Rhinolophus ferrumequinum: one gene and its partner. The protein of the gene in region 2 interacts with the protein of the main gene of each other region in a biochemical or structural test. Links are inferred from orthologs where the notes say so. Each region holds a gene or a part of one and is shown on either strand. Other genes may lie near its edges.

Evidence for each region.
Region 1: the proteins of DMD (region 2) and DTNA form a complex in vitro, tested with the Homo sapiens proteins (3 studies listed by BioGRID and IntAct, with this or other methods). The link is inferred for Rhinolophus ferrumequinum from reciprocal best matches to the Homo sapiens genes DMD and DTNA.

What each region holds. Positions count from the first base shown.
Region 1 is NC_046302.1:28,652,901-28,670,019, reverse strand, and holds the start of DTNA (dystrobrevin alpha), read right to left. Parts: upstream 6,917-17,119; 5' UTR 6,666-6,916; intron 1-6,665. UniProt on the Homo sapiens protein: May be involved in the formation and stability of synapses as well as being involved in the clustering of nicotinic acetylcholine receptors.
Region 2 is NC_046284.1:99,552,998-99,569,639, reverse strand, and holds the start of DMD (dystrophin), read right to left. Parts: upstream 8,322-16,642; 5' UTR 8,120-8,321; coding exon 8,089-8,119; intron 1-8,088. UniProt on the Homo sapiens protein: Anchors the extracellular matrix to the cytoskeleton via F-actin. Ligand for dystroglycan.

The DNA of each region.
Region 1 (17,119 bases), on a different chromosome or scaffold from region 2:
GGTAAAAGACTGAATGTTTTCCTCTGGAGATCAGCAACAAGGAAAGGATTCCACTCTCACCACTTTTATTCACTATAGTCCTGGAAATTCTAGTCCGTGCAATAAGGCAAGAAAAGAAAACAAAAGGCATACAGATCAGAAAAGAAAGGGAAAAAAAAAAAAAAAAAACTGTCCTTATTTTCAAATGACATAATGGTCTACATAGACAATTCTAAGAAATCAGAAAAAACTTTTAGGACTAATAAATTGAGCAATCCCAGGATACAAATAAGATTCCAAAACAACAACAACAACAACAACAAAAAACCAATGAATTTCTATATATTTGCAATGAATATTCTAATAGGTGTGTAGTGATATCTTATTGTAGTTCTAATTTGCATTTCCTTAATGATGTTGAACATCTTTTCATGTGCTTAATTTCCATTTGTATATCCTTCTTGGTGAAATATCTCTTCATATTATTTGCCCATTTTCTAATTGGATTGTTTGTTGTGTTTTACTGTTAAGGTTTAAGATGGTGCCTTTGCCCTCAATGGGGGTAAACTGGGTAAAAGACACCATGGGATTTCTCTGTTACTTCTTACAATGGCATGTGAATCTCCCATTATCTAAAAATAACAGGTTTAATTAAAAAATATGGATTGGATATATCCTCACTTTTCAGATTATATTTGACAGTGTAAAATAAACATACAGCATGATTTGTATGTTTATCTGCATTGCTTTTTACAATAACATACGATAGCACCTATGATATTTTTGTCCCTTGTTGGTGCAGGTGACAAAAAAAGATACACACATAGCTGCTCTGGTTTCTGTACCATGTTGACACTATCAAATCTGTTTAGAAAACACAGCTTGGGTGCTGTATGCAGGTGTTGGCACTGTTCTTGGCTTGTGCTTGCTGTCAAATAGGCTACCTCATGCATTCCCTCAAAATAAACCATAGCTTTCATCATCATTCCTTGAGTAAATACAACCCCCACCGAAAAATAAGAATATCATCAATTTCACAAGTTTAGTATCTACTTTCTTTGCTGGTGGTTTTATGCTGGGATTACCTTCCCATGCTAAAGTTCTAAAACAGAGTTGTTGGTGATTCTGCATTTACGTAAAAAGATAAATCATTGTTTAGGTGATAAAACTATTGAAGGGAATTGGCTAATTTTATCTGGTAAAAATCAGGTCTGTTCAGTAGTCTTGCCATTTTCTTTCATCTGGGTCCGTGAAAGCGTTGCATTTATGAATGGGAACGGCCATCTGACTCACTTTGGCCAATAAAATATGAGTGGAATTGGCAAGTACTGCTCTCTGGTGAAAGCCTTTAAGAACTTGTGGGTAATTCACCAAGTTCCCTTGTGCCTGATGAAGGATGAGGATGTTTTGGGTGACGGGGGCTTTATCAGCCCAGGTCCCTAAGTGAGGAAGGTGTAGAATAGAGGTTTTTGTTGACTAACACAGCACACAGCATTAGCAAGAAATACACCCATGTTTTTTTCAGTCACCGAGATTTTAGAGTGGTTTGTCATAACTGCCCAACCTAAACTATTATAACTGGTGAGTGTATTTTATATTTACATTAAACACACGAAACTCTTTGGAGTAGGACCCTGCACTGGGGCATCAAATTGTAAACTCCAGTAAATGAGTTATTCTTTGGTGTACTTGATGGCATCCTCCACTCAGATAACCCATGCACACCCATATGTCCACAGAAAGCAAAATCAAGTCTTGCATCTCTTTCCTTATGGTATAAATTAGAGCAATAGTTTGCTAGTTACTCTGTGACATAGAGCTTTGCATGAAGCTGAGCATACAGAGAAATGATGTATCACAGTCTTAATAGGGATACATGAGTCATAAGAAAATGTGCTCTGCCTTAAGCATTTCCAAGAGCTTCAAAGAAGAGTCACGCATTTGTAGATGTGTACTGTGTATGAATTGTGATTCATGGTTAACATTAACATTCATCACATAACCTGCATATTACCTATTATTTGCAAGGAGAAATAACATTGACTAACATTTATTTTCAGACAGTGTGCAGTACTTCACTTTGCTGATGACATGTACCATCTGTCTTAGGTTAACATTATTTAGATAATATTTAAAATTGCTAAGTTTTTTTAAATCATAATAATTACTGTGATTCGTGTCAAAAGATCTCATTGTAAAAATTAACAGGGTTTTAAACTATTTTACCAAAGTAATTCAACAGATGTTGTTTATGTTATACTTTGTAGCCTCCTTGCAGTGCATATTCTGAACAAAGACTGTAGGGGAAGGTGAAACAATTGACTTAAAATTCTTAAGTTTTTTAATGGTCATAGAACTTCCAGCAGTTAAAGATATTTCCCTAATTATTGGAAATGCATATTTGGAACTACATATTCTTAACGTTAAAATTTTCAACAGTTTCAAATGGTACTCAAGTTACTATTTTTGAATTTTAAAAATATATAATATGTAAGGAGACATTTCTCATAACCTAGCAGTCACTAGTCTTTGTCTAGGCATTCATATATCTCTTCTTGCTTTATCTATATATTTTCCCTGTAAAATATAGGACAAAAAGCATTGATATAAAGGAAGTCTTATTCTTTCTCCATTGATTTTTATGAAGGGAAAAGGAACCAAAAGATCCAATTAAGAGGTGTTATTATTTTTAACAACGACGGGAGTTGAATGCACCAGTAAATTTATGAACCAGATGTTACACATCGATAGCTCACAGTATGGACTACAGAAATAGAAATACTGAGTTTAGGGCTCATCTCTAACTATGCAACAATGGTCATGATTACTGTCCTCTTTGTCCTTAACTTTCCCTTTCTATAAAATGGGGATAATAGAAATACATGCAGACTTCAGAAGGCTATTGTGAGGAATATGTAAGTTAATTTACATAGAGCCCATAGAATGATGTCCAGCATGCAGTAAGTATTCAATAAATTTAGGTATTATTATGTTTGATTTAAATTGTTAATACCCTTTTACCAAGCATATTAAACATTTAATATCACCTCCCTTACTCTGGGGCCTCTTCTCTTCTTTTGGACACTTCATAGAATCTTAGGTACTGTGTGCTGAATCAATTATATTTCTATCTTGAAACATTCTTCCACTTTAATAACACACACACGCACATACACACAACCACTTTTTAAAATTTGAAATAAAATGACTATATTTCTTTAAACTTAAATTATTCTTAGCAAATAGGATAATAACCAGATAAGGATAGCACATGCTCTCTGTGCTTTAAAAAGTATTGATGGGAATTTTGTAAACTTCCCCATTTCCATAGGTGGATAATAAGGGGGAATAGTATGTCTTCTTCTGGTGAATAGAAAAGTGGAGAGCTATTCAGAGGGAGACACAGGTCTCTGATTCAGAAAATAATTCACAAAATATTTATGAAAGCATTTATAAAGACCATTTGACTTAGTAAACACTTCGTCACACATCATTTCTCCACAAATATGATTTATTGTCATCCTGTTTTGACCCTCCTATCTCGTCCAGAATTCCTTATTACATATTCTTATAGAATTCCTTCTTTCAGAGAATTTATCTCAATTTGTGCATAAAGGTTTATCTGTATAATTATTTTATTAATGTCTGACCCTCTATGTTGTCAGGGCCCAGTCATCTTTCTGCTCACTATTGATCCCCCGTCCTCTGCCAAGCATCTGGAACAGAGGGGCTCTCAAGAAGCAGAGACAGTAGGATTCTCCCAAAACTAGAAGTGTGGGACTTGAAAAAGTCATGTGAGTCTACCAGGTGAGGTCAAACTAGCAAGGGAATGTCTTCTTTAAAATAAGTAACAAAAACCAGAAAACTGGAACAATTCTGACTCAGTTAAGAAAGGACATATGTATAACAGGATTAATGCCTTAATGACAATCAACATCGTATGTAAATAGTTTGGCAAAATTCAAACTCAATTTCAATATCAGAAACAGTTGTGTTTGACGGCATGCAACTCTTCTAACCACAGCATTGCACTCCAGCATCCCAAAATAACGCCGGAGCCATAGTTTGGGATGTGGAGGAGATTAACCATTGAAGAGCAGAAAAAAATTTTTTTCACATCCAAAGCTCATGTTTCCATATAGTTCCAGTTGGATTTGGTCTATTTTCACTTATAATATTGACTACGTATGGATTTGAAATATGTATATTGAATTTAATTAAACTGAAAGACAAGAATTAAGGAAATCTATGAATGTCAAAATAATTTTGAAACTTGTTATGTAAAGAAGCAATTAAATTTACTTGAAAAAATAACAGATGAAGATTTAAGTGAGACATCTGTCCAATTGAATGAATAGCATGAGAGCTCCATGATAAGCTCAAATGAAGAGTAATTCTCCAAATATGTACAGTTAGAGTTCACCCCACTGAGACCTTTCACAACATCATGGTTCATTTAAAACAAGTGGAGATTTAAAAAGTATTTCAACTTAGAACTAATGAGAAAATTTGATTTCAGTCTTCATTGCTCCACAACTTTGTATAAAGTATATACAATTGGCTAAAAGGCATGACATACATCAATACCCTCAAAATATAGCCTGCTTTTCATTACTGATAGTTGAAAGAAAATTGTATAATTCTTCTTTCAAAACTGCCTAACCTCTTGTCAGAGTAATTGGCTTAAAGATGATTAAACTTGTTAAAAAAATCTGCAAGATGGTATTCAGAAGAAAATGATGACCCTACATTGAGCAAAGGACAGACTAATATCTTAGGAAGTTTAAAATTAAGTGCAAACAAATATATAGATTCAGACATCTGCTTTATAGTGATTTATTTGCTGGTAAATCTTAACTGCTGAAAATCTATGTTGCTTATAAATACTACTTTAATCTATAATTGTTGTAGGAAACTTGGTTAATTGTGGCAAAAGGAAACTACTCAAAGGATATTTTCCATAAATATAGTATTAAAAATTTAGGAAAAGAGTTATTTGTCCCCAATTTGTAGTACATAGTCAGTTAAGAGGTTCATCTTGGTACAGAGATGTGGGCCATATGTCAAATAGAAAACTTTAGGTACAATGGAGTCCTATTTTAATGAAATATATAAATATTAAGAGTACACCAAAAGACCAACTGGGCTGTAACATTTCATAACTGTACGACCTTGGGTAAGTTATTTCACCTCTCTGTGTCTGGACTTCCTCATCTGTAAAAGATGGATAATATTATTACCTACTCCTTATGGTGATATAAGAATTAAGTGAGAGAATAAAGCTTATAACTGTACTTGGAATATGTGGAGAGCTGTTTTTTCCCTAAAGTTTCTACCTTTGGCATAAGCATAATAGTGTCTTTTCTTGTAAAAGAAAAGAGTAACTCTGTGCACTTTGACAATATAAGTTACTGTCATATTCAAAAGGAAACACAAACAAACATTAAATACCAAGTGATCATAACAGATAACAGGAAAACTTGAACGTTAAACATCAGTGCAAAAGACCATTTTTTAGAGTACAAATGAACATAAAGGTGGTTAGCTTCACAAGTGTACATTTAATATTTTTTTCCTCCTAAGTTCTACAGTTATCACCAACCCAAGGCTACCAAAGAGAAAGTTTTACTACCAAGTCCCAGCCGTGGTACCTTTGAGCTCAAGCACAGCGTCACCACCCCTCTTCTCTCCTTGGCTTTGGTTTTTTGACTGACATCTCTCCACCACCCACGCCGGGTACCAGAACCAACCTCCCGTTCGCCTTCTGTCCAACGGAAAACTCTAAAGTGGCAACAGGCTACAAAAGCCATAGACATCCACCCGGTACCCAACGGCCCCAGCGACCCCCAAGTGCCCACTCCCACTCAGACCTCCGCGCGGGCACCGCAGTGCATTGCAACACGCGCAGACGCCGCTGGCTGGAAAGGAACCCATCGCGGATTTCCTGGTCAATAACCCCCAGACTGCTCCCCAACGTGAGTGTCATCCCTAATGGATGTGGCTACGCCACCTCTCACAGGCTCAGTCCGCGAGGACGACTCAGAGGGCGCAATGACAACAAAACAACTCAACCCGCGACGCGAGGGAGCCGGCTGCCATCGCCAGCCCCGGAGCGACGACGCAGCGGCGACAGCGGGGGCTGCAGCGACGCCGGGCCTCGGCGGGCGGCTGAGATTTACCTGCGCGGCCCCGCGCCCCCGGGCCGGCCATCCTGCAGCAGCCGCTACGGCCGCCCCCGGGCCCGAGGCGCCGCCCGCCGCCGGGGAGGCGCCGAGCCGCAGTCCTGGCTGCGGCGCCCGGCACATGCTTCGCGCTCGCCGCGGCCAGCGTCGGCGCACAGGTGGGAACCCGGCGAGTGGGCGTTGGGGTGATTCCCTGCCCCCGCCGGCGCGGGCGGTCCGCTTCCACTCCTGACTTTGCCGGGTGCGCGGCGCCTGCCCTTGCTCCAGCAGCCGAGCCTCGGGTGCCGGCGCCCCGGCGCCGTGGGCGGCCGGGGTCCCTGCGCAGCTGGGGCTGCGCGTCATGTGCATCTCCCGCCTCGCCGTTCGCTCCGCTGCACCGGGCGGCCGGGGGCAGCTCGCAGCATCCCTGCCCCGCGCCCACTTCTCGCCCGACACCCGGACCCCTCCACCCCCGTGCCCTCCCCCACTCCGGAGCTGTCAAAGAAGAAAACGCCTTGCACACACCTTGGAATGGACGGGCGCCTCAGTCACCGACTCGCCAAACTCTTAGAAGGCGTCCATTGGTCTGTAGGGAGGTTTGGGCATGGAGTAGGAGCCGCTTTCTTATTATTTAATAATGTTGGAAGTGCCGGGTCCGCTGCCAGAGTTGTGGGTCATGTGGGCACAGCAGAGGCTGGCTGCTGCCAGTACCAGGGTTTCCTGAGGATCCTGAAACTATGATCTCATCCTCCTCATCCGCCTCCCCCGCCCTTCTCTCCGCGGGCGCGCACGCACAGCACACACACACACACACACACACACACACACGCACACATGCACACACACGCACACTGCATGCACTATCCTCCTTCCTGGATCGAAATATTCCACTAGGGAAATACAGTGTTCACGCTCTTCATTGAAAAAAAAAATCCTTTCTGATATTTTTCTTTCAAAGCTTGATTTATGCGCTTTGTTTATTTTCCACAGTTTTCCCTCACACGTGCGAGGGATCTGAACAGAGCCTCAGAATTAAAAAAATAATAATCATCATCATCCTCTTATGTTGACCCAGATTTTGGTCAGAACCCAAGGACTCAAACATACAATTTCAATTTAAAACAGAGGCAGTGATATACCAGACTTGAATATGGAATAGTAATAGAATCTGAGAGTATGAAATGGGTTTCTTTCCCAAGCTGCGAACATTACCTCATTTATTTGCAGAGCATCTTTGCAGAGGAGGCAGATGAGAAGGCAAATAAGTAGTCACTTCAGAGACACAGAAGAGGCGTAGGTCAGATAACACGACCGATCCAAGTGCACATGTCAATATCTCACTATAACTATTAATTGCACAGCTACTCGTAGGTTGCTTATTTACTATAATCAATTCCTGGAAACTTAAGTTCTGAAAAATAATGAAGATAGGCTTGATTATTTTTAACTTACCTACTATCTGAGATTGCAAATGAATCAATTTCTCTCTCTATATATGTTGTTATATAATTTTCTTTTGTGTATTTGTATATATTTCCTGTTTCACGTTTTTATATAATTTTCTTTTTTGGGGATATGTATATGTCTGTGTGTGCGCATTCATATTCATTTGTGTTACTTAACTCCTTAGATAGTAATATCAAGAAATTTTAGTCATTATTTTTGGGGTAGTCACCAATTTCATAATGATTTACAAATTTCACTCAAAACCTTTTTAAATGCCTGATGCATATAAAGAGCTGTGCTATGTTTTAAAGGATATAGGGAAGTTTAATATTTGGAACCTGTCCTCCACTAGTTTACATCTAGTTGTTGAGTATATATATATATATATATATATATATATATATATATATATATATTAGAGAATATATACATATTATAGAGAATATATATAATATAGAGAATATATATATACACATATATATTTGTAGAATATATATATGTGTGTATATATATTCTCTATATTTGGTGTTATGAATATATATATATGTGTGTGTGTGTGTATATATATATATATATATATATTCTACAAATATATATACCAAAAAGTCTACAAGAGAAGCGCTTTATTAGTTTTGGTGTTATGAATTGTCACAGAGAAAGTACAAGATACACTTCTTTTCTTTTTACCAATGTAATTTCTGTTCCACACTAAAATTATTTCATTTGTCTGTGTGCCCCATATTTCAGTCTCTCATTGACTCCCACAACATCTCAATGGCCAAGGTAATTTGTTACCTTTACCCTTCACCTACACACCCACCATACTCACATAAATACCACATGGGGATTTTTTCCCTTGTGATTATAAAAGTTTTCACAAAAAACACTCTTGTGTACCTTTTGTTCAGGTGTATATAAGAAAATTCAGCGGTCTTCTAATAATACAAGGAAAAGCGAAATGGTGTGTGAGAGAGAATGGCTCAAGGAAAAGGCAGAAGAGTAAGTAGTGCAAAGAGGTGGGGGAAGGGAAGAATAAAAGGGAATTAAGAAATTACAAGATAAGGGAGAGAAAAAGAGGGGGAAAGCAAAAGAAGAAGAAAAAGAAGACCAACTTTCAAGTGAAAACCAAGATTTTCCGCATTTTTCTGTGTGGAAAACAAATTTAGGAAATCACAGAGTTTCTTATTGCTATGATTTTTTTTTTTTTTGATAAGCTGACAGGAATTTAATGGCAATGACACCAGGTGTGAGTCCTGCAGAGACAACACTGAAAGATCTCAATTTTCAAAATTCAAGTGTAGGATCCACTAGAAGAAATAAGTAGGCTGACCCATCAATATAACGTAATAATAAAAATCACAATGCGTTCAAATAGTCACGGTACACGTAGTATTTTATGAAGAAATTGACACTGAAATTAAGGGCAATAAATGGGAAAACAAAGGCACAGGAATATTAAGGCAGGCAATAAAGAGCTAGGCTTGCAGTACTTAATGCCAAAAATAGTAATAATTATATATTTTTAAGAGTACTTCAATTTTCAAAGTGCTTTCATACCATTTTTATTGAACCTGATAATAAAGAGAGGCAGGCACCGTTGTGGGCTTCATTTTGAAAGACAGTAATAATTCTTCCAGTTTTCTACATGTTGAATAGAGTATGCTGAAAAATTTCACTCATTGTTTTGGAAATATCACTTATATTTTCTGACCAGTCAACACTGAAGATGTTGCTCAGTATCCCTCCCTCCAATCCTTCTCATAAACAATACAACTAGATGGATTCCTGGGCATAGATCGCAACAGTGATTGATAATCCAGGATTTTACACAGGCTATTAGAGTTAAACTAGAAGCTTTAGCATGTAGCAGATGCTGATGGCTTTGTAGTATCTCTGGGAGATTTCTGTAGAAGAGGTGGAGGCCCAAATTGAACAGCAATATATCAAGAGCACTTTTCTTTTGATCTGCGTACTCATGGCAGGATTTGCTTTAATTAGAGGTATATTTAGGTTTGATGATTATAACATGTGTTTCTGAAATGCATTACAACTTCAGTGGCTCAACAGTCACTAGCAGTTTGTGTCAAAATACCTTCAAGTAGGGAAAAACATTTTTAATATGGCTATAATATTAAAAATATTTTAATATTAAAAATATTTTTAATATTTTTAATATGGCTATGTACACATATTTATGGGTCGTAATAATTTAGGCTATCTTTATCAAGAAAAATAAATTACTGATATTTACTATTTTGCTCTTATAATTTCTTGACTTTAAAAATAGTTTATAATTAATGAGATTGGTTATCTGTAAAATCAGAATGCTCACTATGGTACAGTGAAACTCTGAGTGTATGTGTTTTATAAATACAGAGATATAGAGAGTGTTATAGGTCAAATAAGAATGATTACTATTACCTATGCACTGGTAATAGTTTGGGGGCATGAGGCATCAAACATTTTGGAAACTTTACGAAATTTGAATGACAAGAGTAGAAAAGAAGATGGATTCAAAAAAGTTGAAGAAGTGAAGACATTGCTATTTTTATCAATTAGAAACACATGTACCCCCTGGGTATAGAAGACTGTTTCGGAGAAGGATGATTTGGGGTTTGAAGAACACAAAATATACATAAATTCTGCTCCTCCAAGAAACTTGATTTTCCTTCTTGATTAGCTTTCAAGAATGAAAAATTCATTACCAGTTCAACACAGGATTCGAAGTGATGGATCAACTGAGCTGTGGCTTGGAGGATTCATGGTTAGATTTTTTTGGGAGGGTGAGAATTAATAAATTTTGAGGCCAAGATGGGCAGAAAGAACCCTTTGCTATTCTCTGACTTTTCAAGATACCCCCATTTTGGAACTCATCAGCCTCAGACAGAACATTGTCGTCTGACCGCCACTGAAATGAATAAATTGTGTCCTAAGAATTCATGAAAATTGAGGGGATGTAAAGTATGTGTTTGTATTAATAAACACCAAGGGTGTTCGTTCAGTCTCCTTATGCATCACTTCAAAGTGCTTATTTATATAAAGTTAGTATCTAATTGCCTAAGAATTGAGGCATGGTCCTGTCAGTTGTTTGTGAGTAAATGCAAGGTCAGGAGAACAGAGGTATTTTTCCTTTCATCCCACCTACGTATGCTCCCCAATCCCTTAGCTAGACTGAAGCCTCCTGTATACAGGACTGTGCCTTGTAATTCAGCTGCTTTGGTAGTGCATATTACGGTGCTCAGCTGCAGTGTCTCTTGTTTGATCTTCCTGTCTGCCTAAGATCCTCAGGAGAAATGCATTTGCATTCCCCATGTTCTCTTGGGACAGGAGAGAACATTGCTTAAAAATGGGTGGGTCTAAGTGGTCAAGTGTATTTTGTTTTCTCATGTTGGTGTATACAAATTTGTTGCCATTTTAAGTAGCTGTGATTCCACCTTGTAATGGCAATTCATTAACTACATATTCTAGTGGTTCACAGCTCTCAATGGCATCACACCAGTGTGCCCTTTATTCCTGGGAGAATTTATTTTTCATTGGACCACAGATAAAACATAAATATTTTAGGCGAAACTCAAGTGTGCTGTCACAGAAGAGATAGTGAAAAAAAGCCAGCCGGAGAGTACAGTTTATCAGGAAGTGCTTATAATCTATATACTTGCTGCTAGAATTGCTTTTAACTCTATTTTTCATTGTTTTAGGGCTGAATGTTTTTGTCTTTGTTTTTCCCAAGAATATAGAATATCTTGGTACATGTAACCAAGAATAAAATTGAATAAATAATAAACATCATCATAATAAATACACTTGATCAATGTTGATTACCAATCCAAATAATTAAGGACAAAAGTGCTGTTTATTGAAGATAAATTATCTGAATAGCGATCCACATTATCTCAAGGAACTGTCAAATTTTTCCTTAATGATTCTAAATAAAACCTAATGATTTTAATAATACCAAAGAAACCAGTTACACACTGAAGAGCTTCATTAAAACAATTTTATTTACATGAAATCAGTTCGTCTAACTTATTTCCCAGTGAAATGATTTTTTACATATTATATAGATACAGCCCAAATCTCCTGTATACTGTCAGGAACCATGTTAACAAGTGCACAGTTTAATTTCAAAGTTAATCCCTATAGTAAATACCATATAATTATTTGATGCTGTGAAGCATTGTATTTTATGAGAGACTAAATGGAAAAAAAAAATGGGTGGGAGAGGAAAGGAAACTAAACTAACCAAATTGTAATCTTTAAAACTGTGTAACTAATACGTGGGTAGATCCATAATTAAAATTTATTATCGGAAATAATGGTATTTCACCTTTTAGGGGATACATTTTGAGACAGTTCAAAGTGTATTCCTATAAGGTGATAATATATTTATCAATATGTAAATTCTATTTGTTAATTAAGACGCTTATCTTTTATTTGTGCCACAAGTATCATCTATGATTCTCCTGTTTTGTGTTTTTCTTTTCCTCCTTTATATCCCTGATCTGCATCACCAGATCAGCTTGAACATTCTTCATGGTTTCAATGCTTTTTTATTTACATATCTCTCTTTCCCCTTTTTTATGTCTGTCATTAGACAGAAAGGGACAGGAATACTGGGCATTTTACAATGTTTTATCATAACTACACGGCTTATTTTGTACCCAGTTCAGCATTGTCTATGCTTTTCACTAGAAATACATGAAAATTTCCTGATTTTGAAACTGTCATTTTTTTTTATGTGCACAGATCTCAAAAAGCATTTTAAGATGCTCAAGGACAGAGGCCATGATGAAAACATCCTTTTTTTTTTTTTTTTCCCTCCCTAGAGAATCAATCACGTTTATCTCATATAGCAAGTGCTTGGAAAATACTTGTAGGCATAGGATGAGAATGATGGTAAGGAAAATTCAAAAATTTTACTTCTGGCCCTGTGCAGTATATAGAAACAATTCTTTTAGGCTTGTAAATGCCTTTAATAGAGCATGTTTTTGTATGTTTTATATGAACAAGGTGAACTGGATACCCTGTGTATGACTTGCTTTTGCTATTGGGGTACATGCAACTTTTTCTCTGTGTATTTAAAACAAACAAACCAAAAAATGTTTTGGATGACAGAATTATGTACATGTAAGAATATTCATTTAAATCTTGTGATTAATACCAGTACAGTATATTTCTCTTTGTAATATTTCTTCAATTTAACAAAGAAAAATAATTGTAACTCCACTCATCTATCTCTGTGTCTTAAATGTTTAGAAGAAAAGATGCTCAGCATTTAAAATATAGTGTATAGTTTACTTCAGAGGACATAGTGGATATTTTAGATCTTCTGGTTCTTAAAGAAAATAGAAACAATTTACTTATTTTATAGAAGTAGAGTGAATACTTTAAGGATTATATGCATTGTATAAAGTATTTGTTCCATACCCTCTCTGTTCTTTTCTTAACCATCATTCAAAGTACATTTTCCAACTCAGCATTATCCACCCTCCTTGAACTCACTTTAAAGACTTACTCTTGGAAACACTGTCTTCAAATGTGTTCTGTTTTTATCTAATCATTTTATGCGTATTAGACATTTGGATTGTCCACTCCTTCACCAGGATTGCAAACTCCTTATGCTATACGTCTCTTGTACATTTCACAACTTCTTGTAGTTATTCAGTAAATACTTGCTGATTGCTTTGTTGATTAACTGAAAATAAGTTACTGTTTTGACATGACATTGCCCCAAGTATGAGAGAGTAATGTGTTCTCTTTCTACTTATTATTAATTTGCATGCATTTTCAAATCTTTAGATATATATTCCTGATACAGTATTAATTTTTTTATAATAATGACATAAAGTTTGATAACAGAAATCTTCCTCCTATATATAAATAAATAAATAAGAATTAAACCAAAATCAGTGTGTTGTTTAGTTGCAAGGAGTAATTACTGCCTATGATCTTTTATATTTCTGCCTTAACCAGATGTTATTATTACAATATCATTCATTTTGGATAATATAATTTTATTTCCTACTTTAAGGAACTTTGAAAAACAAATGTGGAAGTATTTAAGTATAAAGGATTTTCTTTCTTTGGTATCTTTTGCTCAGTGTTATAAATTTTTCATAATCTAAAAATTGAAGCTGATTTATTTTTCCAATTACATGCTCATCATACTACAGAATGGTTTATATTTGTTCAGAGAAAATGAACAAATATTTCAACAACTGAAATATTTGTTGAATGTCAATGTATATTAAACACGTTTGTTTTACAATAGGTCATATCAAAGAGCTGCAATCTACAATCAATAGTTGTCCTGCGGGGTGGCCTGCGGGGTCTCAGCTCCCGCTCCCCACATAAGAACGCAGGATATGGTGAGGCCAAGAAGGAACACCCACGGAGCCATAGATAGGGGAGTCATACCACTATAGTCTCGCTGGAGACTGGGTTGGAGACACAGGAAACAGGAGACACAGGATCCGCAACCCTCACTCTGCCACTTGCTAGCTCAGGCACCATCTTCTTGCTAGCCCCCTTTGCTGCTAGCATAGCCACGGCAGTTATATTAGTGGCCAATGGCTCACTGGTTACAGCTGACGGCTAACTAGCCAAAGCTGATGGCCATCCAATCACAGTTGATGGCCATTTACCACCTGAGCCAGCACCTTTTCATGTGAGGCTGAGAGCCTGGAAACTGCACTCCTGGCTCTGTCCCCACAATAGTCTTTAGGAAATTCAAATTTACTACCTTAGCTTTTATTTCTAAAATAAAAACCTCAATTATAATTTTCTTCACATCCTGATAGAAGAATAAAATACACTAGGACTTTCTCCACTGGTGTTTTTACCTCATCTTATGTGAGAACATTTCTGGTCATTTCTCTTGTTAGCTGGGATGCTTCCAATGACAAAGGACTGGGCTCCTTCTCTTAGTTTTTATTTGCACTGAGGCTCCTTTAACCTGAGATAAGACAATCATGGAGCAACAATCCTCAGTCCAACAAGGACAGGGTCACCCAGTAGGTATACATACTATGTGTGGGCTTTTAACATTAACAACAGGGGCACTAAAATAGTTAAAAGATGTTTGTTAAAGCCTTCAAAGTAGTTGTCATGTGGGGTGTCATGCGGGGTCTCTGGTCCTGCTCCACACATAAGAGCGGAGGATATGGTGAGGCCAAAAAGGAACACCCACGGAGCTATAGATAGGGGAGTCATACCACTATAGTCTCGCTGGCGGCTGGGTTGGAGACACAAGAAACAGCAGCCACACTATCCACAACCTGCCGTCCACTTCTCTCTGCCAACCAACCTCACTTGCTAGCTGCAATCTGCCATGCTAACTGCAATCCGCTCTTGCTAGCTCAGTTACCATCCGCTTGCAAGCCCCCATTTGCTGCTAGCGTAGCCACGGCAGTTATGTTAGTGGCCAATGGCTCATTGGTTACAGCTGACGGCCAACTAGCCACAGCTGATGGCCATCCAATCACAGTTGGATGGCCATTTACTACCTGAGCCAGCAACTGTCCATGTGAGGCTGAGAGCCTGGAAACTGCACTCCTGGCTCTGTCCCCACAGTAGTTATTCATGAAAAGGAAATAAAAACTTCACTGACCTTATTTAACATACTTATTTTTATGGTTCCTACAGGTTCTTTCAACTTTCTTTCAAACATACATAATGGTACCCATTATCCAGCAGAAGCAACGATTAACTCATGGCCAAACACTTCCACATCCTCATTTGTCTCTCCACCCATGTTGTTTTCGAGGCACATACTATATATCATATACATTCATCTATAGATATTTCAGTCTATGGGTGCATAATTTTAATTTGTAATTACTCAATGGGGATAAATAAAGCCAAATACCATAATATTTTCAGTGTTCAGGGGCTTTACAAAGTTGAACTTGGCTCTTATTGCATGCATACATACTTAAAGTCAGCATGGTTACATATAACATACACATTACACACACACAATTACAAATGCAAGTGTTCAGCAGTAAATAACTTAAGACCGTTCATCCCTGGAGACACTGGTCCAGTCTCTAGAAACTGCTCCTTACCGTAGCTTTTACTTCTGAGTTTTCTGAGTCAGTCTTGTTTTGTAACTCTACGCCTTTATTCGTGGTCCAGATTAATTTCTACCCTAAGATCTGGTCAGATGGGTCTTTTTCTTTGGTTTTGCCTTTTGTATTCTTTCACTCTGTGTCCTGCCTTCTTTCCCTCTCCCTCTCTCTCTGATCATAGGCAAACAGTCTGATGATTTAGATAAATGTACCCACGGATACACCCTCATAACACACTCACACCATTCAAGACACAGGGCACCAAGGAAACTCCCTTGTGTCCCTTTCTAGTGAATCCTTGCCTACCTCCTACACCTGGAGACAATCATTATTTTGATAGCTATCACTATAGTTTTGATTTGTCTGTTTTAGAATTTCGTATACAATAGTCCCCTCTTACCCATGGTTTCACTTTCTGAGGTTTCAGTCACCCGTGGTCAACCGGTTCCGAAATTATGAAATGAAAAATTTCAGAAATAAACAATCCATAAGTTTTAAATTGTGCTCCATTCTGAGTAGTGTGATAAAATTGCACAATGTTCTGCTCAGCCCTACTCAGGACTAGAATCATCCCTTTGTCCAGAGTATCCACGTGGTACACGCTCCCCACCTGGTAGTCACTTAGTAGCCATCTTGGTTATCAGGTCGACTGTCATGGTACCGCAGTGCTTGTGTTTATGTAACCGTTATTTTACTTAATAATGGCCTCAAAGCACAAGAGTCATGATGTCTGCAGTTCAGATATGCCAAAGAAAAGCCATAAAGTACTTGCTTTAAGTGAAAAGGTGGAAGTTCTCAACTTAAGACATTTTATTATCTCACATTATCACAAGAAGGGTAAGTACAATATAATAAGATAAAGAGACCACATTCACATAATTTTTATTATAGTACTTTTTAAAATTGTTCTATTTTATTATTAGTTATTGTTATTATCTTACCTTGCTTAATTTATAAATTAAACTTTATCATAGGTATGTATAGGAAAAAAAACACAAATATACAAAAGGTTCAGTACCATCCCTCAGGCATCCACTGAGGGTCTTGGAACATATACCCGCAGATAAATGGGGACTACTATAAATGAGATCATACAGTATATACGCTTTTGTGTCTCTCTTTTAGTCCAGCATTATGTCTGTGAGATTCATCACAACCAACATTATTATGTGTATCAATAGTTGGTTTCTTTTTATTGCTGGGTTCTAGTCCACTGCATAAATATATCATAATTTGTTTATCCATTCCCCTGTTGATAGACATTAGATTGTTTACAGTATTTGACACTTACAAATAAAGCTGCTCTGAATGTTTATGTATAAACATTTTTGAGGGTCTATATTTTCATCTCTTGAGTAAATATGCCTGATTGGTTTTATGTTTTTGAATCTATATTTTCATTTCTCTTTGGCAAATACTTGCTAAGTGTTATAGAAATTATCAATTTTATTCATCCATTCAAAA
Region 2 (16,642 bases):
TCAATTTTACTAATGGTTCTCAAGAAATTTTAGACATTTCTCCAATAAGCACCTACGTGTATATTAACTAAAATAGCATTAAATAAAGTGCAAACTTACCTTATCATATCTATGCAATTTTGTATCCTCTAAAGGATGATTTTTCATATTGCTTAACAACTCTGACTGAGCAATTGAAATTCAGACTATGATAAATGTTTTACACTGAAGGCTCATTTCATTATACAGTAGTCCGTTGAAATGGGGTTTCCGAAGAAGGTATTTTTAGGAAGCACAGAGTACAGGAAAAAGCTGAATACATTATACAATTTAAATATTTATTGAAGCTTTTCTACTAAGGGAACATTTTGGTGATATCTCACAGCCATAGCAATATGGGAGAGGAAATTAGGGGTAAATAGACGGCAGAGACAGTGGAAACCAAGACACCTGGTGCTGCAGGTGAGATCCTCATTCATAAAGTCATTCAATTGGGGATTGAAAGGAACACTATTTTTACAGAAATATTATTTTTCATTATTCTATCTAGACACTGCTTCTACGTTTTGTGTTTTTGTTGTTGTTGTTGTTTTTTGTTTTTTTTTTCTTTTTTTTGAGTTCTCTTGTCTTCCTTATTTAATTCCTGACCTCCTTCTCCTCACACTTTTCTAACTGTTCTCATCCACACTCGATGGCTCACATTTTAAGTCCCCAATAATGATTTCATTTCTAGGCTTCAGATCCCCACATCCACAGCACCTACACTCTCCATAAAACAACTCAGCATCCATACCTCCAATCCTTCCCATTATTCCAGCTTCCCTTTAAATCTTCTTTTAAATGGCACCGTTATCCATCCACTTCTATATGCCATGAAGGACACCACATCCAATGCAACATCAATTGCTATTACTTTTCTCTCAAATATACATCGTGAATAAATCCACCTCTTTCAACGTTACTGTCATTATTCTAGTAACATCACCCTTTTTTGCCCCTAGAGAAACTAACTAGATTGATAGCCCTTCCCCTACTCTTAATACCTCCTAATCTCTTCTTCACAAAACAGTGATAATCTTAAAAAATAACCCCACCACAAATATGTACCTGTCACCCTCCTACCTGAAATCCTTAAAAGGCTGTCCGTTGATCACACCATAAAGAGAAAACATCATTCCCATGACTTCTCAGGCTCTTTCTGATTGGACCCCAGCCCGCTGCTTCAGCTGCATGTTTGATCCAAACTTTCCCTCATCAACTGGACTCTCGGAAAACTGCCTTTGTTTTAGTGTTTTCTTCATACCAAGTCACACCTTCACACATATTGTTCCCTCTGGACATAACATTTTTCCCCTTGAACAACTATTCCCCAAACCCATCATTCTCTGTCTTACTTTGAATGTCATATTCTTAAGAATTCCTCCCCAATTTCTAATACTAGTCCAGTCTCACTGTTACACATTGATATAACAATGTGCGCTTCATTCTATGGCCCTTGTCCCAAATGCAATTTAAATACTATATATGTAGTATATATAGCATACACACACACACACACACACACACACACACACACACACACACACAGAGGGTGCCCAAAAAATGTATACACATTTTAAGAAAGGCAAAAACTGTATTAAAACTACACTGATGGGAACCACTTTGAGCACCTCGTATAATTGCAGAAGTCAAACGTGACTTGTATTCATCGTTTGTTATCAGTATATATTGAGTATTACAATTTTAACAGTTTTCCTTTCTTAAAATGTGTATATATATTTTAGCACTATATATATGTATATACATATACATATATATATATGTATATATATGTATATATATACACACATATATAATATATTTCCTAAATTCTGATCTCAGTGAGGTCACTTGTTTAAAACATTATCTCCACAGCATAGCGCAAGTATCAGGCACAAAATAGGCATTCAATACGTATCACTTGCATAAATAAATAAATGAATGAATGAAGAACAATCTGTTCCTTCTTTAAACAGTGGTTACCCAAGCTCACACAATACAAACTTTACAGAGTCACTTCTGTTGATATTTTTATTTCTGGATTTATCTTGAGAGCAAATCTATTTCCAGGCATTTAGAGTAAATCACTGCAAAGTCCGGAGGCTTGAATGAAGTAAACTCTGTGATAATACTTGGTGCTTTCTGACATAGCCCATTAGAGATGGTGTGTGTACACCTAATCCAAAGGAATCTTCTGGCTCTTCAGCAGCTGTTCACATGGCTCCTGACCTGCCCTTCAGGCTCTACTAAATCAGGATTCCTCAGCTGTCTGAGCTTCCAGTAAGTTCTTTCAGTTAACCATCTATATGCCAACATTGCTCGTGTCTAGTTACACTCTTTAGAATCTATTTTTCCCTGTTCCTTCCTAGTTATTTTCCAATATATGGGAGCTATTGGGATTCACCAGTTTCATAGATAATATCATCAGTCCTTCAACTATTTTGGTACCATTTTGTCTACCTAGTCTCTAGTTTATTTCTAATATTGCCCTCTTGAGTATCAATGTAAAAAGGAATTACTCAATTTGCATTTGATGGAAATACTTGGGAAGTTCTGGTTCTGTTATTTTCCTTTCTTCTTTCTTTAGTTTGACCTCACAACGTTCCCAAAGCTAGAATCTGCACTTGTAACAACGTGCTGACTCCCATGCCCTTTAAGTCAGCACTTAGCTCAGGTTAAGGTAGAATGGCTGCTGTAATCTGATAAAGGAGCAGACAAGTTGTGTGCAAATAAAGATGGGTGCCAAGAATGAGCAAAAAGCCACTTATGTTTATGCCCTTTTATAGTCCTGATTCTGTGACAGTCTTAGCCAAAAACAGAGTAGAAGAGGGAGAGTAATTTAAAACAAAACAAAACAAAATCCAAGGAGAAGGTAAAAAACATTGAAAGAGTACCCGCTTTATTTGCCCATAATTGGGCATAATATGACACATTGTAATGCACATTGTACTCAATTAATACTGGTCTTTTTGAGACATCAATTATTCCATAATGGTGGAGGAAAAGTGTATCTAAAAGTTGAAGATACACTGGCAAAGACTATATATTATTTTGGCATATTTAAATTCCTCCTTGTTGCAATACCCATGAATGGGCTGAAGATTTATTAAATATAAACTAAAAATATGACAATTCAAATATCCGATTTTAAAAGTTTATTTAAAATTGTGTTAACTCATTCAGCTATCTACATTATGACTTCATTATTAATACATGGAAAAGCATTGGCTTTCATAATGCATTTTAATATTCGTCCTATTCATGAAAACCAGACTTTCTACTAAAATAAATAAATAATAAAACTACAATACACATAAGTAGAGGCAAAACTTCCCTTGGATTCTTTTACTTGAACAGTAACGTGAGACTACATAGTCTTAACTAGCCTAGATACATTTCAGCTTCCAAAACTGATGTATAAAAATATCAATTTTACAACAATTTGAATTTATGAAAAATGATTTCCTTAAAAACATGTGGAATCAAATGCTGAATTAACAGTTCTGGAAGACCCACGAACAACAAAAACACAACAGCAGCATTTTACCAGCATAACAAACAAATGACAGTTCCATTCCAGTTAAAGTGTAATTGAGAATTCTCTCCACCTTTCATTAGTGAAGAATGAGGTGTGCGATGACAAAGGGAAAGTGAGGCACTGAGGCAGAAGGCAAAGGTAATAAAGGAGACTGAAAAGAAACTGATCTCCCAACTCAATCCAGATTGCTAGGAACACTTGTTTTCTCAAGGCTTAATATCATTACATCTATTATGCAAAATCCTTCCAGGGATTGTAGGACCCCGGAAGATTGTCCTGTGTGTTCTTTCACTTAGTGAAATTCCCAGGTATTCTGAATGAATGATGTGAGAATAATATGAAGATTGAGACAGAGTTGAACAGAAATTCTTTGTTAAAATGGCAGCCAAAGTGGAAGACTGGAGTTATGGGAGAGGGAGTGCTGCCCTTGGGTTTTGCTAATGGGCAAGAGGTGGAGGTTGTGTGGTCATAAGGACGCTTGTAAGCATGAGTCAGCAGGGCCATCCATTTCCTCTCCTTGTCGTCTCTGCCTGCTGCCTATCAGAACTGTGGCTGAGAAATTTAAGATACCCTTGAAAACACCCACCAAGCCTCCCCTCTTCCCCCGCCATATTCAGGGCAGTAATCTTAAATAGGGAAAGAAAAAAGCCCTGGGAGTTAAAGTGTTTCAGAATCTCTGGAGGAGGCATCTGGCTTAAAAAGGGCAAATATGCTGTAATATATGGGAAAAACAAGCTTTTTGTACTACAAATTTCAGAAAAAAGTAAACCAAAGTTTTTAGCTGTTAATCTTCAAACTATAGTTTGCATATGAGTGATTTACAAAGAGCAGGTTTCCTCTCCCCTTCAAAAGGAGACAGAAGAATCTCCGAAGGATGTGTTCACTTTTAATATTAACTTGAGGGAGCTTGAAATTTTACAAAGAGAATAATTTTAAGGACAATTCTACATGTGCTGTAAGCAGACAACCCCCTCCCAAACTGGCAAAACAAAAAACTACACTCTAACATTGCCAATTTAACATTCACATCTGTATTAAAATTAAACTTCTGAACTCCAAATACGTGTTTTGAATACCACTCTGTCAATGTTGTACAGAGTGAAACTCCAAGGAAGATTAATTAATAGATGCTCTTCAATGAGGAGAAAGGTAAAGACCACAAGATGTTTATTTGCTTGTCTGTTTGCATTTTGAAGATCAATCTCCTACATGGAGAATACTCCCCAAAGATAAATATTTTCGTGAAATTCTGCTTTGGAAGTTGGTAGCATTTAATCAAAAAAGTCTTCTCCTTTCTCATACTGCAGTCGATGACCTTCCTCCCCAAAATGTTCTGATATGAACCAACTGCCCTGATAACAGAACACAAATCTCCTAGGACTACAGCAGGACTTTGTCAGAAAGAAAACCGTTGCCTCCCTCTGAATCCAACGCAAACCTGAATGTACTGTATAAAAATAAACCAAGGTCATCATTATTCCTTCTCATTGTGATTTGGCTTGCCTTCAAATCACATACCCTGTATGTCTGAAATACCTACACAGCCTTCATTAACTGAGTTTGACATCAGTTTAATCAATGTATCTTTTCAGAATAAAAGGCAGAAATGTCACATTCCTACCATTATACATTTTTTAAACTCTCTAATCTGCATTAAATAAAAGCTGGTCTTTGAGAAATAATCTATGCTTTAAAAAATGATAACTAGCATTAATTTTATTTTAAACTGTAACTGGGAAAAGATTCATCCACAACACATTTCTTCATACAGAGGTGACTTCCCATGAAACTTTGAACACTTAAGCCTTGAGGCTCTACACTTATGTTTCATTGGACAGAGGACGTACATTAGTCTTATTTGTAAATTTCTTATAAATGACGTGCGTTTAAAATAGAAAATAAGTCAATGAACAAAACATGACATTTAAAGAAAAGTTAATTTCCAATTAATTTTCAATGTTTCTCTTAAGTGATTAACTCTGTGATTACAGGTGTACGTATGTTTCTTTAAACATTTATACTCACACCAAAACACCATGTTTCTTGCATTTGCAATAGAAGAATAGTTTAATGAAAAATATAATAAATCATTTTTAATAAGTTAGGGAACTAGTACAGGAGAAAGTGGAAGGGGAAGGAAGGTTTGGGAAATCACTGCTTTATCCTTGTGATAAAGCCATGATGAAAGATAATAAAACAGAATTTAAAAAAAAAACCCACCTTGTATTTCTAAGACAACGAAGATTTTAATCTCTTTTATTAAACCACACAAGTGGTTAAGAAACTTGACAATTTGTTTCATATGTAGCAAATGACTTGGACTACAAGGATTTCAAATGAATACTTCAGGACTCAAGAGGAAGCTATACTAATATCTCTGTCCAAATTAAGAACAAATATTTCAGTTCTGCCTAGCTGGAGTAGTGTCAACCAACAACTTTTTTCTTAAATAACATACACTTACACAAAACACTTTGTAGTCTATTTTGTAAGTTTTAGAGTAACTCTACATGATGTTCTCCACTGTATATTCCATAATATTATGCCATGTAAGAGACACAGAAAACTTCTTATTAAAATAAAAGCTATACTCTCTATTTCAGCAAGCTCTTTTTCATAGTTAAGATGTCCTTAAAAGACTCTGCAGATGAAATTCTAAAAGACGATTTTATTAGACCTAAAGATAATTTGCATTATTTAAAAAATTTGAATGAAATGTATATTTGCAATAAATTATTTGAATAATTCTTTGCAAGGCAATACTTGAGTATTTCTAACCGTGAACAATTCTTGTCTAATACAATGATCCTCTCTATTAATTGGTAACTATTTTGGTTAAAAACCAACCAAATGTACTCTCAATGTTTTCAAACTAAGGCAATTTTAAAAACTAGACACAAATGTCAATACACTCAAATAGTAGCATGTTGTCAATTAGTAAAAGTTAATGTATAATATAACCTTGTGAATATCTTCATTTTCTTTTCACAAACCCATTGTCATGTAGCATAAACATTACCTGATAGTTTTAAAATGTACTATCATAAAGTTGTACAGGGCTTGTCCTAAAAAGGTTAGCTATCTTCAAATTCTAGTTAAGAGTTTAAAAAGTTATTTGAATATCTATGACAAAACAGACAGTAAGTTTGCCTTGCTTCATTCCAGAATTGAATCTTTGCTATTCTTTCTCAGTTTTTCTATACACTGGTTTATGGTTTTAATTTTGTAAATATACTGATTGCTTGATCAGTCAATTATGTATGTGTGTTGCAAAGAATATAGGCTACTGGATTTTTGTAATATTAGTAAATGGAATAGTTTTTCAATTAGAAATCAATTTTGATGCTCTCCAAGAAATTTATAAAATAAGGGTATTATATAGAAATGTTTCACTACATATAAACTCTGGAAAGACCTAATGTGAGCCAGCAATTGTACAATGTAAACTTTTTTCCACAAATTTTTCTCAGAGGCAAAACTTCTGTTATGACTCTTTTTCTAGAAGTTTTGAAGACTTACTTATTTGGAGAGATTTACGTTTTTCATTCTTACTTATAAGCATTGCCCTCATAGCTATTTCAGAATGACTATAACCCAGAAGTCAAAGGCAGGAAAAAAAGATTGTCTACTTCATCCACCTCTTTGGGACACACTGTGCTCCTCATATATTATTTTTATTGTTGTGTCACAGTCAATTTTGAAATTTTTCATTAGTCATCATAACTTTCTTAAAATAAACAAAATAGTTGTGCTTTACATAAAATTCAAATTAAAAAGCTTTACTGAAAAGCTAGGTCATCACAGACATGAAACAACACAGTGACTTTACTGTGAAATATAATTAGAAGTCTCTCATGTTTTTATGGTGTTTTCTCAAGAAAAGTGTCTGATCATTTGATGGCATAGATTATATCATTATTACAGAAAAGAACATTCAAAACACTAAATGTAATATGAGAAAGGAACTTTTAAATTAAATATTTATCAATACTTTTCTCAACCTCCATTTATCCATCACCATTCATTTTATTTTTTAAATTTCTCCCCATGATACGCCAGATACAATTTTTCTAATCTTGAGATCTCCACAAATCATGCCCACACAGCAACTAGTTCATTGAGAATATTTGCCAGGTCACTACCCCAACATATAACCGTTACTAAATACAGAAGTATCAAATAATCAAGATAATAACTCAGATTCACAAACGATTTCACAGCAGTTAAAATGGTTTGTTGCAAATACTCCAGGCCAGTGATGCATGTTCTATTACTTTAGTGGTTTCTTAAATAAGAAAGATGTGTTTGATTATATTTGTAAGAACAAAAGTTTAAACTCTACCTCATTTCTACTGAAAAGTTTTCACAATGAGAAACATGTACACCTGCACAAATATACGTACGCAGAATATGTAACATTTATGGTTATTCACAAAATATTATAATAATTTAAAATCAATCTGTCTAATCAGTGAGCTTGTCACAAACTAAAAGTTATGCCACTGTAAAAAATATTTTTACTTTGTACTTACAACAGTCCTCTACTTCTTCCCACCAAAGCATTTGGAAAATAAAATGTGTATCAAGGCAGCGATAAAAATCTTGGTAAAATTTCTCCCAACTTTATTGCTCCAGTAGGTTTAGGAATGATGAGAAACCAAACAACTCCAGCAGCCTTTAAAAAATAACACTTTGGTTTTTCCTAGTCCGTTTTTCTCTGAAGCTAATTGCCTCCAAGATCTGAGTCCTGAAAGGGGAAAGTGAGTGATCCTAACACTGAGTGAGTCAACACAGTAACTGATGCCAGGATTCTGTAGAGGCCCCTGGATATTTCAAATTCCAGGACCTGCGCAGAAGCAAGTGACCCGCCTCTTCTCTCAAGTTGGTTTCCCATAATAGGACTGCCCATGGTCACTACATATAAGGTTGTGCTTCCAGCATGGCAAGTCCTGTGAATTCAAATAATGTTCAACTGTGTTCTGATTAATATCCAAACCAGAATAGCACAGTGGACACAGTACTTGCTCTCAAAGCCTTCTTAACATAGAACCTCTTTAGTGCAAAACTGTAACAATACTTTCTGTAACTTCTATGCACATTTCTAAAATAACAGAGCAAAAACTCCTGATGCAGAATAGACTTCTAAATGCTTTTCCTTATTTTACCTTCTTAACAACACTAAAATTTTCACTCCACTAAACAAAAGGAAATGCCCAGAATAATCTATGCACGCCTTATGTATCCACTGTTTACCAAACTTAATTTCTACTCTGGGGATCCAATCAAAAGTCATGTATTGATGATGTCAACAGTCTGAGTAAGAGAAACAACAGAAGAATTGAACAGCTGAGCTCTGAAGGCAGAATGTGTATAGGTCTCACGGGATGAGGTTCCTGCTAAAATAAAGAACACTCTAATAATGGAACAAAGAAATCTTACTCAAACATGAAATTCCCATTGTAGCTTTTGATAAAACATTTTTAACTAACGAATTACTGTTTCTTCAACTTCTTTGGTGACAATTATTACAACAACATTCTCTTAGACACTGAGTTAATGACAAATTTTTTAATTGCTCGCAATAGATGCTTTTTTCTGTATTAAATGAACACAATTGTAATGTATCATTCAACATGTTTGTAAATAATTATTTGCCACTAGAAGGCTTCTTTATCTTCTTTCTTATTTTTATAATTTATTTATACTAAATTTATTTGGGTGACATTGGTTAATAAAATTATCATATTTTTATTTTTAATGCAACAGGTAAGCCCAATATTTATAGGAAACATTGGTAGCATGTTTTAGAAAGATATTCCTTTTGCAATTAAAATAATCTCTGTTAAAATTATTTGTCTGAGTATTTTTATAGTACCATTTGTTAAAGTGACAGTCTCATTTTTTTATGTCAACCATTCAATTGCTTGGGACATAAATAAATTATAGACAAACATACAGAAAAACTGACATATTGAGTCAAGCTATGATATTAACCTTAATAGTGAATTATACATTTTATATTTTAGAATATCATTATCATAATACTACCATTCCTCCCTAACAAAATCTATATGAAAGAAAATATAAGGCCTAATGTTATGTAACTGTATTTTAAGTGCTATTATTAAAAGGATTTAAAATGTTCTTCTCCATAGCTTTCCTCCTTTCCTCTCCTTAGCGTGGTTGTCTAAATATGCATATAAGCAACAATTTCATAAAAACATAAAAAAATGTTTTAGGACTGACATGGATCCAAGTCTGCATGTTAGCATCAATGCCCTATGCGATGGGTATCATATCACTCAGAGTACGAGTTCCTTTACACCTTGTACTGTGAGTTTCCTACAGATATAAACTCATGTTTAGGCTAAGGCATATGTATAGTTTTATCAGTGATTTGTACAGTGTGATCCACAAAGCATCACATAGGAACTTTTTAGTAATGCAAGTACACAAGACCTGGAAAATAAGAAATTGCGAATAGGACCTGGTACACTCTGTGTTTTACTGGTGATCCTAATGCATGGCCAATTTTGAAAAACCCTGTCGTTTTTCAAACCAACAGTGGCTCCAAATATACCAAACACCTGTCTTGGTTAATTATATAAAGTACCAAAGAAGATCCAAGATGGTGGAGTAGATAAATGTTGTGCTTGCCTCATCCCATGAACACATCAAAATTACAACTGAATTATAGAAAAAATAGCCTGGACAACCATCTAAAGTCTAGCTGAACAGAAGTTTTATAACCAAGGGTATAAAGAAGAAGCCACATCAACATTGGTCGGAGGGGTGAAGTCTCAAAAGGGGCTGGTCCCACACCCATGTGTGGTAGCTGAAAATTGAGAGAGATATCTTGGCCAAAGAGGTTCCCCATGAAGGAGTAAGGAACCCCAGCCCCACACACCAGGCTCCCTAGCCGGAAAACTGGTGCCAACAAGAGGAGCCCCCACAACTTCTGGCTATGAAAAACAGTGGGGATTCCAACTGTCAGGATAGGACGGAAGGCTGTGGAAAACCCAGCTGTCCTTTTAACAGCCCACACAGACACTCACCCTGGGCTCTGGTGGAGGGATGGTAACCATGGGGGCGTTGGAGACATGGGTAGAGACTAAGTTGTATAACTTCGGGGCAAGGACTGAGGAACAGTCCCCATTTTCCCTGTGTGGGGCCCTTCTCCAATGCAGCCAGCAGAAGGGCACCATTTTTCCTGTGCTGAGTCCACCTCCACAGGCCTAATCTGAATCTGATTGGCCTAGTGAGCTCTGCTGCTCCACCCTGTTGATTCATTGAGACCTGGCCTCACCTGACTTGTATACTGCAGGAGGCTTTATCAGCAGCTAAAGCTTATGGGAGTTGGCAGGTGGCAGCAGGCCTCTGAATTTCCTGGCTTTTTGTAGAGCTACTGCAGACCCTGCACTGGTGGCAGCCATCCTCAGTTTGCAGCATGGCCTCTCCAACGCACCTCCCGGTACAACACAGGTAGTGACCAATCATGGATCACTTTGTAGCTCCTACCAGGTAGTTCCCAGCCAGTCACAGACAGTGGCTTCCCTGGGCCTGCACCAGAGCCCCTCCCAAGAGGCTTCAGAACCAACATACTTGGAAGTTGGCTTCAGACCACAGCAGAGTACCACCCAATTAGCCCCACAAGTGGCACACCCAAAGGGCGGTCTCAACAGGCACCAAAACCTGCTGGGGCAAATCCCTCTCCATATGGTAGGTTCCACCACACAGCAGCCCATAAGCTGTGGATGTGGCCAAACCTCCCAGCCAGTCAGCCTGAGGGTCAATACCCACCAAGATATGCCAACAGCAATCAAGGCTCAATTATAACAGGAGGGCACACGCAACCCACACAGGGACACTGCTGGAGCACCTGGAGCAGGTGACCGGGGAGACTGTGCCACGAGGCCCCAAGGACCCCTATTACATAAGGTCACCCAGCCAAGACTGGGAGACATAGCAGCACTACCTAATACATAGAAAGAAAAACAGAAAGGCAGTGAAAATGAGGAATCAAAGAAATATGTCCCAAATGTAAGAACAGGAGAAAACTCCAGAAAAAGAACAAAATGAAATGGCTGCAAGCAACCTACCGGATAGAGTTCAAAACACTGGTAATAAGAATGCTCAAGAAATTTAGTGAGAATTTCAACAAAGAGATAGCAAGCCTAAAAAGGACATATAAACCATAAAAAGGAACCAGTCACAAGTGAAGAACACAATAACTGTAAAGAAGAATGCACTAGAAGAAATCACTAGCAGAATAGATGAAGCAGAGGATCAAATCAGCAATTTGGAAGAAATGGCTGCAGAAAACACCCAATCAGAACAGCAAAAGAAAAATAAGAATAAAAGAAAATGAGGACAGTTTAAGACACCTCTGGGACAACATCAAGTGTAACAACATTCGCATCATAGAGGTACCACAAGAAGAGAGAAAGCAAGGGATTTAGAACCCATTTGAAGAAATAACTGAAAACTTTCCTAATTTGGTGAAGGAAATAGACATACAAGCCCAGAAAGTGCAGAGAGTCCCAAACAAGATGAACCCAAACAGGCCCACACCAAGACACATTATAATTAAAATGGCAAAGTTTAAAGACAAAGAGAAATTTAAAAGCAGCAGGGGAAAGGCAACTATTAGGTTGGTGCAAAAGTAATTGTGGTTTAAAAGGTTAGCAATAATTGTAAAAACCGCAATCACTTTTGCACCAACCTAAGAGTAACTTATAAAGGAGCTCCCATAAGACTGTCAGCTGATTTGTCAACGGAAACTTTGCAGGCCAGAAGGGACTGGCAGGAAATATTCAAAATGATGAAAAGGAAGGATCTACAACCACGAAGACTACCAACCAAGGTCATTATTTAAAATCAAAGAATAAAGAGCTTCCCAGACAAGAAAAGGCAAAAAGAGTTCATCATCACCAAACCAGTATTACAAGGAATGTTAGAGGAACTCCTTTAAGATGGGAAAAAAAGATCAAAATTATGAATAATAAAATAGCAATAGCTACATATCTATCAACAATTACTTTCAATGTAAATGGATTAAATGCTCCAATCAAATGGCACAGGAGAACTGAATGGATAAAAAAACCCCAAACCCTTACATATGCTGCTTACAAAAGAATCACTTCATATTGTAAGACACACACACAAATGGAAAATAAAGAGATGAAAGGAGATGTTTCATGAAAATGGAAACAAACAAAAAAAGCTGGCGAAGCCATGCTTACATCAGACAAAATAGACTTTCAAACAAAGGTTATACCAAGAGACAAAGAAGGACCCAGAAAACCCACTTCAGGGTATTTATCTGAAGAAAGCCAAAGGCTATTTGGAGGAGACATATGTATCCATATGTTCATTGCAGCATTGCGTACAATGGCCAAGATGTCGAAGCAGCCTGGGTGTCTGTTGATAGAAGAATGGAAAAAGAGGAGGTGGTACATATCTACAGTGGAATATTACTCAGCCGTCGAAGGGAATGGGTTCTTTTCATCTGCAGAGGCATGGATGGACGTGGAGGGTACTGTGCTGAGTGGAGTATGTCAGACAGAGAAAGACAGATGCAATGTGATCTGGCTTATATGTGGAATCTAAAGAACAAGATAAACAAAACAGAAACAGACTCATAGATACAGAGAACATTTTAATGGTTGCCAGATGGGAAGGGAGTTGGTGTGGCGGGTGAAAAGGGGAAGGGATTAAGTAGTATGAATTAGTTGTTACGAAGTAGTCATGGGAATGTAGGGTATAAGGATTACAGTCAATAATATTGTAATAACTATGTATAGTTATTACATAGTTATTACAATCCTCATGTGCGTACTAACTTTGTTGGGGTGACAGATGGGATGAGGGTTGGGGGGCAGGGTGAAAAAGGTGAAGTGATTAAGAAGTACAAATTAGTAATTACAAAATAATCATGGGGATGTAAAGCATAGGGAATACAGTCAATAATGTGGTAATAACTATATATAGTGCCAGGTTAGTGCTAGACTAGACGGGGGGATCACTTCTTAAATTATATAAATGTGTAAACATATGCTGTATACCTGAAATTAATATAAATTATTGAATGTCAACTGTAATTGAAAATTTTAAAGGGGGGGGAAGGTGAAGGGCAATAAGAGGTCCAAATTCCCAGGTATAAAACAAATAAGTCGTGGGGATGTAATGCACAGCATGGGGAATATAGTCAATAATATTGTGATAGCGGGGTACAGTGTCAGACGGTTGTTGTACTTATCATGGTGATCACTTCTTTATGTAGGTAAATGTTGAATAACTATTGTGTATACCTGAAACTAATATAATATTGTATGCTAACTATTTTTTAATAAAAATCAAATATATATATATATATATATCCAAATACTCTCAGGTATATCTGTCTTTCAATTTCAGTCAATAATCACAATTTATTGGGCACCTGTAATCAATTCTACATTAAAGTGGAATACACATACATCCCTTAAAGTTTTACAGTCTAAGTGGGAAGACATGCTTATGGTAACTGGAAAAAGGGGAAGGTACATCAAATAAAATTTAGCACAAAAACAGTGAATTCTAATTCAGACCTTGGCATTATTTTCCTATGGTCCTTAGTCACTTCCCTCTCTCATTTAGTCTCCACAGTAACTACATTGGGTATGTCTTAAGAGCCCCATTATAAACATGGCTGGTCAAGGAACCTGCTAAAGTACCTATTGTTAATGATTGGCAGAGCAGGATTTTTAAAAATGTAACTTTTTATTTTGAAACAATTATAGATTCACAGAAAGTTGCAAAAATCGTACACAGGGGTACCCTACCTATACTCTTTGCCCAATTTTCCCCAACAGTTACATTGATCATAAGGCAATAGCAAAACTAGAAAATTGGTATAATGTGTGTATATATATTTGTCATTTTATCATAACTGTAGCTGTATGTAACCACAGCCTCAATCACAATACAGTACCATTCCATCACCACAAAGCTCTTCCTTGTATTATCCCTTTACAGTCATACCAACCACTCTCCTCTACCAGCCTGGCATCCACTAATTTGTTCTTCATTACTGGAATTTTGCCATTTCAACAATGTTAGATAAATGGAATCATTCAATATGTGGCTTTTTGACATTAGCTTTTTTTCATAAATAAAGCTGCAAAACAATCACATACATTTTTTTCCCATTTATTTGGGATTAATACCCAGGAGTAAAGTTACTGGATCAGATGGTAAATGTATGTTCAGGTTTTTAAAGAAACTGCCAAAATATTTTCCAGAGGGTCTGTATCAGTTTACATATCTGCCAGCAATGTGAGTGATCTAGTTTCTCTGCATCCTTTTGGCATTTGGTGTTATTTTTAAACATTTTTATTAAATTTATTGGGGTGACATTGGTTAATAAAATTATATAGGCTTGAAGTGCACAATTCTGTAATACATCATCTACATATCACATTGTGGGCTCATCACCAAGAGTCAGCTCTCCTTCCATCACCATATTTTTGACTCCCATTACCGTCTTCTACCATCCCCCTCCCTCTTGTATTTTCTTTTTTTATTGTAGTCTTCAGCATGCAGAGATATATCATGGTGATCTCAATTGGAATTTCTCGAATGGTTGATGACATTGAACATCTTTTCTCATGCTTATTTGCCATCTAAATGTACTCTTCAGTGATATATCTGTTCGTATCTCTCGCTCATTTCCTAAACAGATTATTTTTTTAAACTGCTGAATTTTGAGTGTTCTTTATGTATTCTAGCTTTGAGTCCTTTGTCAGATATGTGGTTTGCAAATATGTTCTCTCAGTCTGTACCTTGTTTTTCCATCCTCTTAATAGGGTAAGACCAAAGCAAATTTTTAAATTTTTATAAAGTCCAATTTATTGAATTTGTTTCTTAGATGGACGGTCCTTTTGGTGTTAGGTCTAAGAACTCTTCATTGAGCCTTAATTCATGAATATTTCTATGATTTTTTTCTAAGTTTTAGTATCTTCTTATATTTACATTTAAATCTATGACTAATTTTGAGTTTACTTTTGTGTAAGGTGTGGAGTTTAGGTAGAAGTTTTCTTTTTATTGCTTACAGATTTCCAATTGCTCCAATACCGTTTGTTGAAAAGACTTTCCTCCTTCTGCTTTTGTACCTTTGTCAGAAATCAGTTGGGCATATTTGTGTGAATTTATTTCTGGAATCGTGATTCTGTCCTATTGATTTATATTTCTATCCCTCTGCCAGTACCACACTGCCTTAATAACTGTAGCTATACAATTTACCTAAGCATTAGGTAGAGTTATTCTCCCACTTTATTATTCTTTTTCAAAATTGTCTTAGAAATTCTAGTTCCTGTGCCTTACCATATTAATTTTAGAATAAGCTTATCTACAAATAGGTTTACAAGTCAGACTACAAAATATCTTTCTCTTATCTTGATAGGAATTGCATTAAATAGATCAATTTGGGGGAAATGGACATTTTCACTATGTTGAGTTTTCTAATCCATTAACAGTATACTCGTATACTTCCAATATTTAGGTCATCTTTAAGTTATTTCATCAAACTGTGCCTTCTAATAGTGCTTTGCATTGTGATTAATTTGTTTCATGTTTCTAATATGACTATAATGATATTACTGCTGTTATGGATGTGATTGTACAAAAAAAGGGAAAAGAGCAAAGCTTCTCAAGTGACAGTTTTGAAGAAGAAGTCCATTTAGAAAAGAAATGTCTATAACTCAACATGCACCATACATGCATGCTGTTAAAACAACTTTAAATGATAAGGTTATAATTGTTTACACATGAATTCATATAGAACTTTACTTTCTCAAGAATGCAAAGCATCTTTTTGTTACATTGAAGGCTTACATCAGCTTTTTTAAAAAATTACTTTACTTAGGCTATAATTTAAAGATACATATTGTACAATGAAGACTGGTCCTTGCTTATATTCTAATATTAACTAGTAATCCCTATGTCATAAAAAAGGTAGAATATTATTTAGAAAGAATTGATAATGATAAACTTAAAAGTGAGCAAGGAGTAAATTCTTAGGAAATGGCAGTATTTTACATAAATTGG